Cricetulus griseus: one gene and its partners. The main gene of each other region encodes a partner of the protein of the gene in region 3 in a complex. Links are inferred from orthologs where the notes say so. Each region holds a gene or a part of one and is shown on either strand. Other genes may lie near its edges.

The links.
Region 1: Hdac3 (region 3) and Gps2 share a complex: the UniProt entries of both Homo sapiens proteins name them as parts of the N-Cor repressor complex. The link is inferred for Cricetulus griseus from reciprocal best matches to the Homo sapiens genes HDAC3 and GPS2.
Region 2: Hdac3 (region 3) and Nkap share a complex: the UniProt entries of both Homo sapiens proteins name them as parts of the notch corepressor complex. The link is inferred for Cricetulus griseus from reciprocal best matches to the Homo sapiens genes HDAC3 and NKAP.

Annotation. Positions count from the first base shown.
Region 1 is NC_048600.1:83,762,142-83,766,714, reverse strand, and holds the start of Gps2 (G protein pathway suppressor 2), read right to left. Parts: upstream 3,200-4,573; 5' UTR 2,468-3,199; exon of another isoform or gene 2,464-2,467; intron 2,268-2,463; 5' UTR 2,198-2,267; coding exon 2,104-2,197; intron 1,793-2,103; coding exon 1,683-1,792; intron 1,601-1,682; coding exon 1,488-1,600; intron 1,381-1,487; coding exon 1,301-1,380; intron 1,210-1,300; coding exon 1,127-1,209; intron 787-1,126; coding exon 633-786; intron 554-632; coding exon 464-553; intron 383-463; coding exon 303-382; intron 229-302; coding exon 133-228; intron 20-132; coding exon of another isoform or gene 16-19; coding exon 1-15. UniProt on the Homo sapiens protein: Key regulator of inflammation, lipid metabolism and mitochondrion homeostasis that acts by inhibiting the activity of the ubiquitin-conjugating enzyme UBE2N/Ubc13, thereby inhibiting 'Lys-63'-linked ubiquitination.
Region 2 is NC_048604.1:29,376,839-29,381,494, forward strand, and holds the start of Nkap (NF-kappa-B-activating protein), read right to left. Parts: upstream 3,149-4,656; 5' UTR 3,027-3,148; coding exon 2,647-3,026; intron 1-2,646. UniProt on the Homo sapiens protein: Acts as a transcriptional repressor. Plays a role as a transcriptional corepressor of the Notch-mediated signaling required for T-cell development. Also involved in the TNF and IL-1 induced NF-kappa-B activation.
Region 3 is NC_048595.1:199,687,899-199,692,605, reverse strand, and holds the start of Hdac3 (histone deacetylase 3), read right to left. Parts: upstream 2,955-4,707; 5' UTR 2,849-2,954; coding exon 2,794-2,848; intron 2,699-2,793; coding exon 2,616-2,698; intron 472-2,615; coding exon 329-471; intron 1-328. Other genes in the region: Rell2 (RELT-like protein 2), read left to right, coding at 4,330-4,513. UniProt on the Homo sapiens protein: Histone deacetylase that catalyzes the deacetylation of lysine residues on the N-terminal part of the core histones (H2A, H2B, H3 and H4), and some other non-histone substrates.

The DNA of each region.
Region 1 (4,573 bases), on a different chromosome or scaffold from region 3:
TGGTGGTGGCAAAGCCTGACTGGTAATGATAAAAGAGTTTTTATCAGTGGGTAGGTAATTTCACTTAACACAATTGCAGTAGGTTAACAGTCTTTCCCTGGTAGTCTATGGGTTTTTGGTTACCAGCCTTACCTTGCCTGCTGCTTGCATCTGCACAGGGAGCTGGGGGGAAGCCAAGAGTCCAGGGGCTGGATGCAGAGCTTGGGGATGCATAGGCCGCAGAGAAGACTGTAAAGACAAAGCTGACCTTAGATAGACTGGGGCTCCCCTCGTCCCCAAGGCTCTATATACTCTATACTCACTGAATCAGAGAAGCTAGTCTGCTGATTGGCATGCTCCATCTGCTTTTGCAAGGACAGGGCACCACCAGGCTGGAGGAACCCTAATGGGGGAATTGTTTGAAATGAGCAGTAATGATAGGACTCAGGAAGCTAGGGCTCCTGCCCAGGCAGGGGATTATCACCTGTCTGAGTGGGCTGAAAGTGGCCATGCACGGCATAGGGTTGTGGCTGCGGCTGTGATAGGTACTGCACGGCAGGAAATGCCGACGGTGCTGGGAAGGTAGGAGACATCCATTAGCTCTTGTTGGTCTTGCTGTTCTTCCCTCTGCTCCGAGGAGAACCAACACTCACCTCTGAGCTGCTGGCTAGGACTATAGGCTGGCTGTGTAGGTCCATAGTGAGGTGGGGGCTGAGCAGTTCCATAAGCACCCCCTGGACTGCCTTGGAATTGTCCATGTTCTGGGGTTCCTGCAAAAGCAGCTGCCGATCCCACGTAGTGCCGGGTCTTAGAGGGAAAATGAAAACTCACTGCTTACACAGCACCTAGAAAAAACTCACTCCATATGTCCTTATGCTCAACTGAGCTCCTACACACTACATGCTTGGTATGTTTGTACTTTAATGATGGTTGGGGTGCCAGCAATATAGGAGCAAGTAACTGGGACTACACGTCCAAGCCTTTTCTCAAGCTAGGCATGATGACAGATAGACAGGATTACATTTCAAGGCCATTCTTGGCTACATAGTGACTTCAAAGTCAGCCTGAGCTTATAAAAGACTTCTTAGGGCGCAATAAATAAACAAACAAATAAATAAATAAATCCTCAAAGAAGACTCATCCTCACCGTAAGCACTTGGGGTCCAAACATCTGCTTGGCTCTGTCAGCTGCCATGAGAGTACCTGGGCGGTTGTGTCCTCCAGGACTCCCTAGAAAGGGAGAGGGGCTTCATGATGCTGAAATAGGAGGCTACAACCTCCAGGAGAGCCCCTTCTGTCAGGTGGTTTCTTTAGTCCTCACCCTGCATGCTGAGGAGGTGAGTTCCCGTGTGAACAGTCAGGCTCTGCTGGTAGGCAGCTGATGTCAGAGTGGTTAGGTCACTGGAGTGAAAGGAAGACAGGGCAGTCAGTAAGTAGCCCTCCTTTTGCTATTAAACAGATTCTTTTGTCACCTGTTCCACCACACAATTTTACTTTGATCATCACACCTCTGTTCCTTTCGTCTCCGTTTCTCTTCTTCATGCAAAACTTTTTTGAGCTGCAAGAAAAGCTGGTGCTTCTCCTCCTGTAGAGCTGAAAGTTTCTCCTGTAGTTTCAGAATCTGGAAGAAGGATGAGCAGATAACAGTGGGGAAAGGGAAGAGAAGAAGAAACCAGAACTGGCAGTAATGAGGAGTTACTTACTTGTTCCTTGGTCTCTTCTAGTGACATCCTCTCTTCCATCTCCTTTTTCTTTCTTCTCTCCTGCTCTTCTTTCATCTTTTGTTCCATCATCTTGTCCACCTCTTCCTCCTCTGAAGAATCAGAACGGGGAAGTGGCAGGACAGTGAAAATAAGCTGAGTGTTACACTGAAGACCAGCAAAAACCAGTTATTCCATCACAGCCATAAGGAGAAGGAGGCTTCATTAGTTGCTCTCCAAGGTCCTTCCCAGCCCAGGGCTCTGGAACTTAGACTGGGCCTCTTCGCTCACACCCTGAAGGCGCCGCTTCCTCCCTCTTAGCCTTGCCAGCAGGCGCACAGGTTGGCCCGTGGATGGGGGCAAGTTCGTGGGTAGCAGAGCCACCCTGGGCCGTGTTTGTCCTCCCGCTCTGGCCCTGGCTCACCCTGCCGTTTGCGCTCCCGCTCCATCATGATGTGCCTGTGCAGAGCCCTGGCCATAGCGTTGGAAAGCTTGGGGCGCTCCAAGAGTGCGGGCATGGTGCTGTTGATGACGCTTGGGCAGTGGGTGCCCGGCTGTTGTCACTGACTGCCAGACCTCAGGCGGGGCCTGCAGGGAAGTGGGAGCTTAGATGGACTGAGACCCGCCAAGGCGGAAGCTAGTCCGCCGCCCGCTCGCCGCTTCGGTCACGTGTCCCGGGCACCAGCGTTCCCCCGGGTCTCAGCCTCAGCGCCAGCGCGCGCGCGGGGGTCCTAGGTTCCGCGCCCCCGCCCCTCCCTCGCAGCCCGGGCGCCAACCCCCCTACCCGCCTTCTCGGAGCTTTCTCCGTGGCCTCCGGCGCGCCTTGATTCCCGCGTCACATCCGGCGGCCAGGATAAATCCTTCCGGAGTCATGACGGAAGCCGCCTCAGCGGGTTGGATGAAAGAAAAGGCGGAAGTGCTTGGAGACGGGTGCCGGGTTGTCCAAATTCCATGTGGGTTTAGAGGCCTGGGAAGATCTAACCTCATGCCAAGAGCCCTCGGAACTCTTCACCTCATGAGGCCGCGGGAGACAGAAGCAGAGGCACATACTCTGAAGACAGTATTTATTGGCTCCTTAGAAATCAGAGTCAGTAACAACTGTACAGAGGGCCCGCAGCTTCCTTGCCTGCCCTTCCTTCCCCACTCCCGCCCCATGGCACCCCGTGGCCACGGAAAAAGCAGCTTCGTGTGGGCACAGAGAGACTCCTTTGGGATTCACAGTAACCAGAACAAAAACGGAAATAAATTAAGTGATATGGGGGAGGGTAATAGGGAGTCATGTTCCACAAATCAGTGCATGAAGGGGGGGCCCAGAGCCTGGAGCTGGGCTCCCTACAAGCTCCCTCTCAGCAGAGGGAGTGTGCTGGGCCCTGAATGTAGAGATGTGCTTCACACCTGGTCTAATCAAAGCCTGTCTATGTGCTCCTCCTGCCAGGAAAGCACCTATCCATGCTGTAAGTCACTGGAATGAGGTGGAGGCTTGAGACCCAGCTGTGCTTGTAGTAGTGGCATCTCACCCCTTATTCCACCCGTACCAGCAGGGCATAGAGGAGTGTGGCTCCTTTTTCCTTAGTGACCCACTCAAGTTCCGATGGGCTGAAGTGCTGGTCAGGAAGTTCTCTGAGGGCAGCAGCAGAAGGAGGGCCAGGAGTGTAGGAGCCAGGGCGCACGCACACCTGAAAGGCCACCTGAGCCTGGTGTGTCCGCTGGGATTTTGGGTCCCGGAATCTATTAGACAAGAAGAAACAAGAGGAGGTTAAGGCTTCTAAGCCCCATGACTGCTCATGCTGCCCCCCTCCACCCAGACCTTGCTGTTCCTGATCTCGCCATGAATAGCTTAGCACCAACCATTCTCTATGTGTAGTACTCTCTTCCCGAGCCCTCCTCATCTAACTTCTTCATGGCCCTCTTCCTTTACCCTGGGACTCTTATTTCATGTTTGTTCTACACATTCCAAGTGCATTTCTCATCTACTTCACCCACTTTTTTGAGACATATAGAGTTCTATCCCAGACTGGCCTCAAACTCCCTACAAAAGTGGAGGATAACCTTAAACTTCTGATCCTCTGACTCTTAGTGTTAGGATTCCAGGCATGTGTTACATATAATACCCAGGAACAGTTTATGTAGTGCTAGGGATCAAATGCAGCACCTGATGCAGGACACTCAAAAAGAGGAAAAAAAAAAAAAAAGATTTGGTAGGCATATACTTTCTATGTAAACCAGACATAGTGATGCACTTTTCCAATCCCAGTGCTCAGGCTGTCGGTGGAGGCAGAAGGAACATGTGTTCAAGATGAGCTTCAAGATGGAGGCCAGGTTGGGCTATTTGAAATCCTGTTGTTTTAAAAAAACAAATGAACAAGGCCAGGCAGTCAAGTCAGGCAATGGTGTTGGTGGTGGCGCATACCTTTAATCCCAGCACTTGGGAGGCAGAGGCAGAGGCAGAGAGATCTCTGAGTTTGAGGCCAGTCTGGTGGACAGAGTGAGTTCCAGGACAGCCAGAGCTACACAGAGAAACCCTGTCTCAAAGCAAAGCAAAATACAAAATAAGAGGGGCAGGAGAGCTGGAGAGATGGTTTACTGGCTAAGAGCACTAGTTGTTCTTCCACAGACCCTAGTTCAATTCCCAGCCCCGACGTGGCAGCTCACACCTGTTTGTAACTCCAGTTCCAGGGGATCTAATGCCTTCTCCTGGCCTCTGCAGGCACTGCATACACAGGCTGTATAGACATATGTGCGGGCAAAACACCCGTACACATAAATTAAATTAAAAGCAAACAAAAATTTCGGGGGGTGGTGCATGTCTTTAATCCAAGAACTCAGGAGGTAGAGGCAGGTGGATCTCTGTGAGTTTGAGGTCAGCCTGATCTACAGATCAAAGCTCCAGGACA
Region 2 (4,656 bases), on a different chromosome or scaffold from region 3:
ACAGTAAGTTCCAGGACAGCTATACAGAGAGGCCTTGTTTCAACCTCTCCCCCCAAAAAATAAATAAAATAAAAATAATTACTTGAAAATAAAAGTAATTATTTGAAGGGGAGAAAAAAGCCAGAATTCCTTAAAGTGTAGTGATTTGCAACTCACAGTTTTTAAAAAGGCATTACAAAAGAAATATAATTGGCTTGACTTTCTTTTCTTTTAACTTCTGTGATCATGGAAAAAGTTATTTATAACTACACAGAGCCAGACATGAAGGTTTTGTATTTTGTGAAAACAGATCATTTAAAAAGGGATACATCTGACCGGGTGGTGGTGGTGGTGCTGCTGCTGCTGCTGCTGGGGCGGCTGCTGCTGCTGATGGTGATGATGATGGCGGCACATGCCTTTAATCCCAGCACTCGGGATGCAGAGGCAGATGATGGTGATGATGATGATGATGATAATGATGGTGCACACGCCTTTAATCCCAGCACTCAGGAGGCAGAGGCAGGAGGATCTCTGTGAGTTCAAGGCCAGCCTGGTCTACAAGAGCTAGTTCCAGGATAGGCTCCAAAGCAATACAGAGAAACCCTATCACGAACCCCCCCCCAAAAAAAGGGGATACATCTGTAACTATTGAAGACTGCCTGCCCAACCACAAAGGACACAAAAAGTCTCATACCTGATGCTCATTTTTAAACACATTGTACAAAGCCTACTATTGTGCCTAAGACATAATGTTTAATAGACACACCAAACTTCATCTCATCTAAAAGTAAAATGCAAATTTCATCCAAGCAGTTACAACATTCCAGTAAATCCTCTCCACCCCTTTTTGAGACTGGATCTCATGTAGCAGGGTCTAGCTAGCCTTCAACTCCTGATGGTTCTGACCATTTTTCTCAAGTGTCGGGATTAGACACATGCACTCACAAAACTCCTGGCTCAACTTTGAGTTTTGACTGACATACTCTGTGGGTACTATACCATGCTGAACAATTTAAATTGGATAGGTAAGTCTCTAACAATTCAGAACCGTAGCCTGGCGGTGGTAGCGCTTGCCTTTAATCCCAGCACTCAGGAGGCAGAGACAGGGGGATCTCTGTGAGTTTGACACCAGCCTGGTCTACAGAGTGAGTTCCAGGACAGGCTCCAAAGCTACAGAGAAACCCTAACTTGAAAAAGAATTCAGAACTGTCTTACTGTTTCTGTTTCCATGCACTTATGGAAGTTATTACAACCTTAATAGCCTTGTTAGTAACTTCCTTCTCCCCTTACTGGAGTACTGCTCCAACCATGGCCTCAGGTTTGCTAGGCAAGCACTCTTCCACTGAGTTACAATGCCAGCTTCTACTCCTTTTTAATGGTGAAGAAGTGAAGCTCAGAGAGGTCAACTAACTTTCCCAACACTACCCTGCTCCAAGGCAAAAAAAAAAAAAAAAAGCCTTCAAACTCAGGCAGTGTGATTGCCTTTTTTTTTTTTACTATATTTCCTCCCCTAGTGGAAGAAGAAAAATCATGAAAACATCTCTCTACAGTTGGAAAGCTAACTTGCCCCTCAATGCCTGTAATACTTTAACTTTTATCCTTTTTAAACACATGGTACAAGGCCTAGTACAATGCCTAAGAAAGAACATTTAACAAACATAATCAACTTCATAAATATGAGATATACAAGCCTCTCTCTCTCTCTCTCTCTCTCTCTCTCTCTCTCTCTCTCTCTCTCTCTCTCTCTCTCTGGGTCTACCTTTCCCTCAGGACAACCTTGAATTTATTCTGTAGTCAGGCTGGCCTCCAACTAATTACGGCAAACCTGCCTCGGCTTTCTGAATGCTAGAATCACAGGAGTGAGCCATCATGCCCAGCTTTTTAAATTCAAGTATTTTTGTGACATGGTCTCATGCATACCAGGCTGGCCTTAAACTTGCTATGTAGATGAGGACAACACTGGTCTGATTTCCCTCCAGAACCTCACAGCTATTGCAACTACAGGTTTGTGGGTGTTTTTAAACAACTCCATTAGAGATCAGATCTCATTCTTTCATCGTTTTTAAAATCGCCTGAGACCACTTTACAAAACTCTTCCTAATGTGGCCTCATCTACAGCTTGACAGAGCACTTTTCGATACATTCATCTAATCTTGCATAGAGGAAGGTTTCCTCCTATACAATATAGATCCTTAATTACAATCCTTCCCAAATGCCCACAAAACTTTTCCACTGACATTTCCTGTTATCTCGAAATTGTCTGTCCCTTCATGCAACAAGGAACGGCAGCTACTACGAAGTGTGTGATCTACAAAATAAGACCTCTACTTTCCACAAGTCCAGTTGAGTGAAGAATAAAAGACACGCTCACAGACAATGACACAACTAAGGAAATACAATAGAGCCGAGGCTCCTAGCAATATCTGCCTGCAAAGACAGGGGAGGATGTAGGCAGAGAGAAAACAGGACACTTTATGAAGGAGTCTAAGGATGAATGAAAATGTAAGTTAGAAAAGGATCAATAAAAAGATCTGGGGTGGACTGAAGAAAAGGATGAAAAAGGTGCGAGACGGGTGGGAAGCGAAAATACAAACAGAAACAATGAACGACAAGCGGGACTCAAAACCGGCAGACTCGTCCAAGCGAGGGGGCGACGATCTCACTCACTTCTGCCGCAGACTCTCCTCCCTCTCCTTGTCCAGCAGGCTTGGCCATGGCTTGTCGCCGCCATAGGGGCGCGAGTAGCCGCCATAATAGGCGGACGAGGATGCAGAAGCAAAAGGGGCACTCCGCTGCGTAGAGGGCCGCTCTCGAGAACGCGATCGCGAGCGGGAGCGGTAAGATTGGTTTCGAGAGCTTTGACTGAAGCTACTCAGCGAATGGCTCAGGCCATTCCGATCACAGAACCGAGAACAAGAGCGCGAGCGAGAGCGGCGACCCCGCGGGGAGCGGGAAGATTTGCTGGGCTTAGGGCTCCTCGACGAACTGCGACGTTTCCCCCCGGAGGCCTCCCGTTCCGGGCTACGCGAGCCCGACACAGGAGCCATGGTGGTGGTAGCCGAAGCCGCCAAGGGGCGGGCCGAGGAAGCGCTCCCGCGCCTCCTCCAAGGGTCCCGGACGCCTAGGGTCCAAGAGCCCGCAGCGTCTATCAACCCAGAAAAAAAAAAAAAGAAAAACCGCGAAAACACTTCCGGGTACGTCGGTAAACCCCTTCCCTTGGCCCCCGCGCTCCTGGTAGCCAACAGGAAGCAATGTGTGTGTGTGTGTGTGTGTGTGTGTATAGAAGCCGGTCAGGAAACTGGGGCAACGGGCCCACACAGTTCCTAATGAGGTTGCTGAAATTTAAACCACACAGAGGCTGGCCTTGGTGGCGCATGCTTTTAATCCCAGCAGTCGAGAGACAGAGGCAGGCGGATCTCTGTGAGTTCGAGACCAGCCTGGTCTGCAGCGCGCGTGCTATGATAGCCTCCAAAGCCACAGAGAAGAAACCATGTCTCAAAAAATAAATCAATAAAAAAAATAAAATAAATAAATAAGATGCACCGAACACTAAATAAGATGCACCGAACACCCAGTCTGAAACTCTAATACCTGAAGGAAGGTTACGATGAATGCAGTACATATTTCATTGACTGTATAAACAACACCGCCAATTCTTAATCTGCTTCGTGTGCAATTATATTTGCCTGTATGGTGTGAGTTTATGAAATCTGTGTATGTATAACACACACACGCACACACGCACGCACTGCTCCTTTTTTTTTCTTTGAAATCCTAAGCAAACTAAGAGGGTTTATTGCCATTAGGATTAAGCTTTGATCTAAGACCCACGTTGTCCAGTTTGCTTAGAAGGCATACATTCTGAAAACTTCAGTCTGTTACATCCCAGAGGAAAATCTTAGTACTTAGCTCCCAGCACTCTTCTCTATCAGTGTCCCACAAAACGAATTTGTTCACCCCTTAAACTAGTCCATCATACACTACCCCAGCAATATATGGTAAGTGATCCATAATTGTATTTATTAAGTACTATTTTTAAGTAAAAGCATCCAAATATTAATTTTGGTTTGATTTTTAAATCTCTTTTGAAATTACATCATTTCCCCTTTCTCCCTGTAAACTTTCCCACATGCCTCCTCCTTGCTCTCTTAAATTTATAGCCTTTTTTCTTTCATTGTTGTTACATATATTCCTAAATATGTAAACATACTTTTAAAAAATTATTTCTTTTGTGTGTCTCAGGGAGTCGGGTGTAGGTGTGGGGGCTTGTGTGCAGGTGCCTACAGGCTATGGGGTTAGAAGACACCGAGACAGACTTGAATTTCTCCTTCCAAACCCAGGATTCTCAGGGATCAACCTCAGATTTGCCAGCAGGCACCTTTTTCCATGTCTTGCTGGTGCTTAAAAAAATCAGTTTGGGACCCTCTGCTCTTGCCCAACTCCTTTCCAAAGCCCCATTCACCCCGATCTCTCTGGGCCTGTGCCCACTGGGAGTAGACACGCCCAAGCAGGAAGGAGCTCCCTGAGTCTGGAAACACCCCACTCTTCCTTCCCGTTCCACCGACCTGACCTCTATGGAGGCCTAACTCCTTCAGAATGAGGAGACTACCAGGAGAGGCAAGACCATCCAGAGCTGCGGACATTGAATCCCTGGCCCACACACACCACTGGGTCACA
Region 3 (4,707 bases):
CTTCACCATTGTATCCCTCATACTTAGCACAGGGCATGGCCTACATAGAGGAAATGCCTAGTAAGTATTTTGTTTGTTTGTTTGTTTGTTTGTTTTTCCAAGATAGAGTTTCTCTGTGTAGCCCTGACTGTCCTGGAACTCACTCTGTAGATCAGGCTGGCCTCAAACTCAGAGATCTGCCTGCTGCTGCCTCCTGAGTGCTGGCTCAAAGGCGTGCATATTTACTGAACAATCAAATGAGTGAATGATAATTTATTGACTAGTAGGCTCCTTCTACTGCTGCCACAAGGCCTCATTGAAGAGCCTGGCCTCGAGGTGCTTCCCTCACCAGTCATCACCCACGTTGAAGGCATTAAGGCTCTTGGTGAAACCCTGCATATTGGTGGGGCTGACTCTCTGCAGGAAGTCGATGTAGTCCTCAGAATGGAAGCGGCACATGTCATGCTGGGAGGCCTGGTAAGGCTTGAAGACCTGGAGAATGGAGACAAAAGTGAAGTTGTTACCTTGAGCACTGCCTAGATGCTAGCTGAATTTCTACACTACCCTGATCTTACCCTTGAAGGCAGGATGCCTATAAGGCAGAAATTCCTCTCAGGGAGGCCAGCCAAACAGGATCAGCCCAAGAAGGCTACCAGAGTGACCAACTAGACAAGACCTCACTTAATTATAATCCCACCAAAACACTGAATGATACTCCCAATTCCATGACAGGGAACAACTGCCATGGTAACAACTGGAAAGCAAAAAGAGAGAGAAGAGTGCCTGAATTCCCAGAAATTTTCTGCCCAGTCTCAGGGAAAAAAAAAAATCCTTTTCTTTATCAGTCTATTTCTCTTACCTCCTTTTTCACTCTATACAAATTCTTTTTTAATTAAAATTGATTTACATTATTTCACTGGGGTGCGGCAGGGGAGGGGGGTAGGTAGGTATGCATGCCACAGTGAAGCCAGGGATAACTTAGATGTCAATTCTCTCCTTTCACCATGTGGGTTTCAGAGTTCAGACTGAGGTCACCAGGCTTGGAGCCAGGTACCTTGACCCACTGAATCATCACTCTAACCCCCATACCTGTAACCTCTTGATTCCTAAGAGTTGTAAAGTTTATCTCTCATTTATATTCTTGACCAAGAATAAAAGTCCCTTTCACTGTTCATTTGACACATGGTCTTGTTACTGGTTCCAGAATTCCAGGAAGGGGTCGGGGGCCGGGAGGCCCAGTTTGAATGCAAAACCTAACAATAAACCCAGGCATTACTATGCCAGCCCCAGGCTGAGACCACTTACACTGAACCCAGCCATGGAGACTGTCCAAAACATATATAACAATCTCCCTACCCCCATCCCTTAGTGAAGAAGAGATGCTATTAGCCAGGCAAGCTACTTTTATCAAGACCCCTGAGGATCATTTCGTCTAATTCCTCTCTTCAGCCCAGTCTCTATCTTCCCAGCCCACTTCTCCTGGCCCACATGCCTGTTCCTAGCTTCCTCAGTCCTGGTTCCCTCTATACTTATCTCCTCTCTTAAACTCAGGTTCTGGTCTCTTCTCTGGGTTTTTCACCATGGGATCAAATCCATGAGATATATGACAATCTAACTGAAATCCAAAGTCCTAAACCAAAGATTTATTATCCTCGGTGGGGGTAGAGGTGGAAGTTCAAACAATGATTTGAAAATTGGGCAAGAAACACTTTTTTTCCTCTCCTAGAAAACGGATAAATGGACACAGACAATTTTAGGGGATTCAGACTTGCACTAATACCACCTCAGTCTACTGTACACCCAAACCACTGCCTGCGCCTAAACACACCAATGACATGTTGAATACCTTCATGGTACACAAGGGCCAGGCTTGCTACATGAGAGATGGGAGAGTTGAGCAGAACCATATAGATACATTCTATATTAAAAAGTAAATTCCTGCCAGGCAGTGGTGGTGTACACCTTTAATCCCAGCACTGGGGAGGCAGAGGCAGGCGATCTGAGTTCAGAGACCAGCCTGGTCTATATAGAGTGAGTTCCAGGAAAGCCAGGGCTACAGAGAAACCCTGTCTCAAAACAACAATAACAACGACAAAAAAAGTAAATTCCCATATTCTCTACACATACACACCACAAAGGAGTGCAGAGTTGTCCTAGCTCCTTTCAGGTAAATGGAGGAGGAGAAGGCGAAGGAATTATGGGTGAAATGTCATTAGAAAATAGACCCTCATCCTTGGTCCTGAACCACTATCCCCTCTACAAAGAAGAGGGGCTAGAGGTGTAGTTCAGTGGCAAAGTACTCACTTAACGTGTGAAACCCTGGATTCTATTCACTAACACTTAAATAAATGAAGTGAAGGGATGAGCCTGTCGCCCTAACCCTAGGCCAGAGGCTGGTCTCCCCTCAAGTTAAAAGGAAGTCCCATCTAAGGTCAAAAATGTATGTCCCATTACGAAAGGGGACACCCCCGACTCAGTACCACCACCACCACCGCCATGCATATAGGAAACGTTCACGGTGCCTTCTATCCTGCTCCCCCTCTAGCGGCAGGTTGCACCTGGTATATCCAGCCCACCTAGCCTAAGGCCGCAGCTTGCTCCCAGGCCCAAACCCCCACAGAAGTGTCAGGACTCACGATCATCTTCTTATAGAGACCATAATGCAAGACTAGGCTATGAGTCAACGCCAGGCGATGGGGCTTCATCGGGTGCCCAGCTCCTGGGGATAGGGAAGGAAAGAGTTGGTCAGTTCCCACCCCTAGAGTTGCAGCCCTTCCCGGGAAACCTCTCCTCCCGCACAACTCTGTGCCCTACCGTAGTGGAAGTTGCCCACATCGGGGTCGTAGAAATACGCCACGGTCTTGGCCATGATGTTGGGGGACCAGGCCCCGAGCCTCAGCCGCCCGACCGCCGCCGGCCGCCAGCCCCACCCCCGCCGTGCGTGCTGCGCAAGCACGCAGCCTACCGCTGCGGAAAAGAGCCCTCGGCCCCGCCTCCCAAGATCACATCCAGACCACGCCCCTAGTGGGAGTCCCGCCCCTTGTGGGAGCTCCGCCCCTTCCCTTGCTGTCCCGGTCCGGATTCTGAGGCTTGAGACTCCGTGCTTGGGCGGGACCCGCGGCGTTATTCATAGGACACAAGGGCCGTTTCTTTCTGGACGAGGGTCATATCCTCGGGAAACCGAGTCATTCTGTCCACCCACTAGCCCCAAACGGGTCTTGGGGCAGCGTTCCCTCTCTAGGAACCTCGGAAGGTCTGGGCATCCTGCCTCTCTCAGGTGTAGAAAGCCAGATTTTCCCAGGCGCTAGGAAGATTGCTGGCTTTCCACTCATCCGGGGAATGTGAGGGCAGGACCTGTGCCAGACATGAGGGCTAGACCAGTGGCCAGAGCCCCGCCTGACCTCCCGACCACCCACGAGGACCCAGACTCACGCCGCACATTCCTCCTGGGGGAGGGGGCGGCGCAGTCACGCGCACATCTCACTTGCGTTCACACACGCGTAAGGCTCACGCTCTCCGCCCCGCACACCTGTGCTCCGCCCCTTGGTCCCGGGCCCGTGACACGATAGGCATTTGGGAACCCAAGACAGTTTCAGAGGCGCTCCCCCATCTCCTCCATTTCCCGGGCAGGAGTGGTCCGGAGCCTGCCGCGGCTCCCAACCAACCGGTCCACATCTTCCGCCATCCTTCCCTCCCCCCGTCTGCCGCGGCACCGGTATCCGCAGCCACCAGCCCGGAGCCGGTGAGGCGGCATAGGGGGGAGGGGGAGGAAGCAAGGGATGAGCTCCGGGAGGGCGTCGGGGGCCCTGAGCCGGACGAGGACGCCCCTGGAACCGGGACCCGAGCCAGAACCGGAGCGGGAGACAGAACCAAACCACCGGTACCGGGTGGGCCAGGTGGCCAGGGTGGGAGGAACGAAAAAGAGGGGACCCAGGAATGCAAGGAGGGGAGGGGGCTGTACGAGGCCTGACTCAGGCCGGTGTAGAGGAGGTATCAACACTGACTCCAGCGTGTTTTCTGAGCTCGCTGTTTGAGAATTTCGTCCCACCTTGTGCTGCAGTGTCCTTGGAAGGGACGGGGGCGCGGGATGAGCTGTAAAAAATAGCGGTCTGGATGTCAGAAAAGTGGGGCTGGGTCGTGGCAGAGGGCTTTCGTAGATGCCATCTGGCCTCCAGCCTGTGGCGGTCTTGGCCGACCAGCACCCTCAGTCTGGACAGCTCCTAGGTTCGGTCGGGGGTGGGGCGGACCTCTTATTGCGGATCCTAAGATACCTTCCTACTCTGCGGGTACCCAGCTGCAGCCCACTAAACCCAGGAGGCGCCCTGGCCCGCGCTCGCCCCCCAGGGCCTCATGTCGGAACCACAGCCTGGCCTGGAGCCGCCCCAACATGGGCTGTACATGCTCTTCCTGCTTGTGCTGGTCTTCTTCCTCATGGGCCTTGTAGGCTTCATGATCTGCCACGTGCTCAAGAAGAAAGGTTACCGCTGCCGCACATCTAGGGGCTCAGAGCCTGATGATGCCCAGCTCCAGCCCCGTGAGTGAGGAGCCTAGAACCCTGATTAAAGCACCTTCCTCCCTTACCCTTCTCCCCAAACTTTTTTCTACCTCCCTGGCTGACAGACCCAGCCCAAATCCTGATGAAACCCAAAGACAGCTTATGGTGGTTTTTTGAGTCTGCATGTAAAGTGACACCACCCCGAAATCGAGGCTAGAGAAGGGGGTCCATTC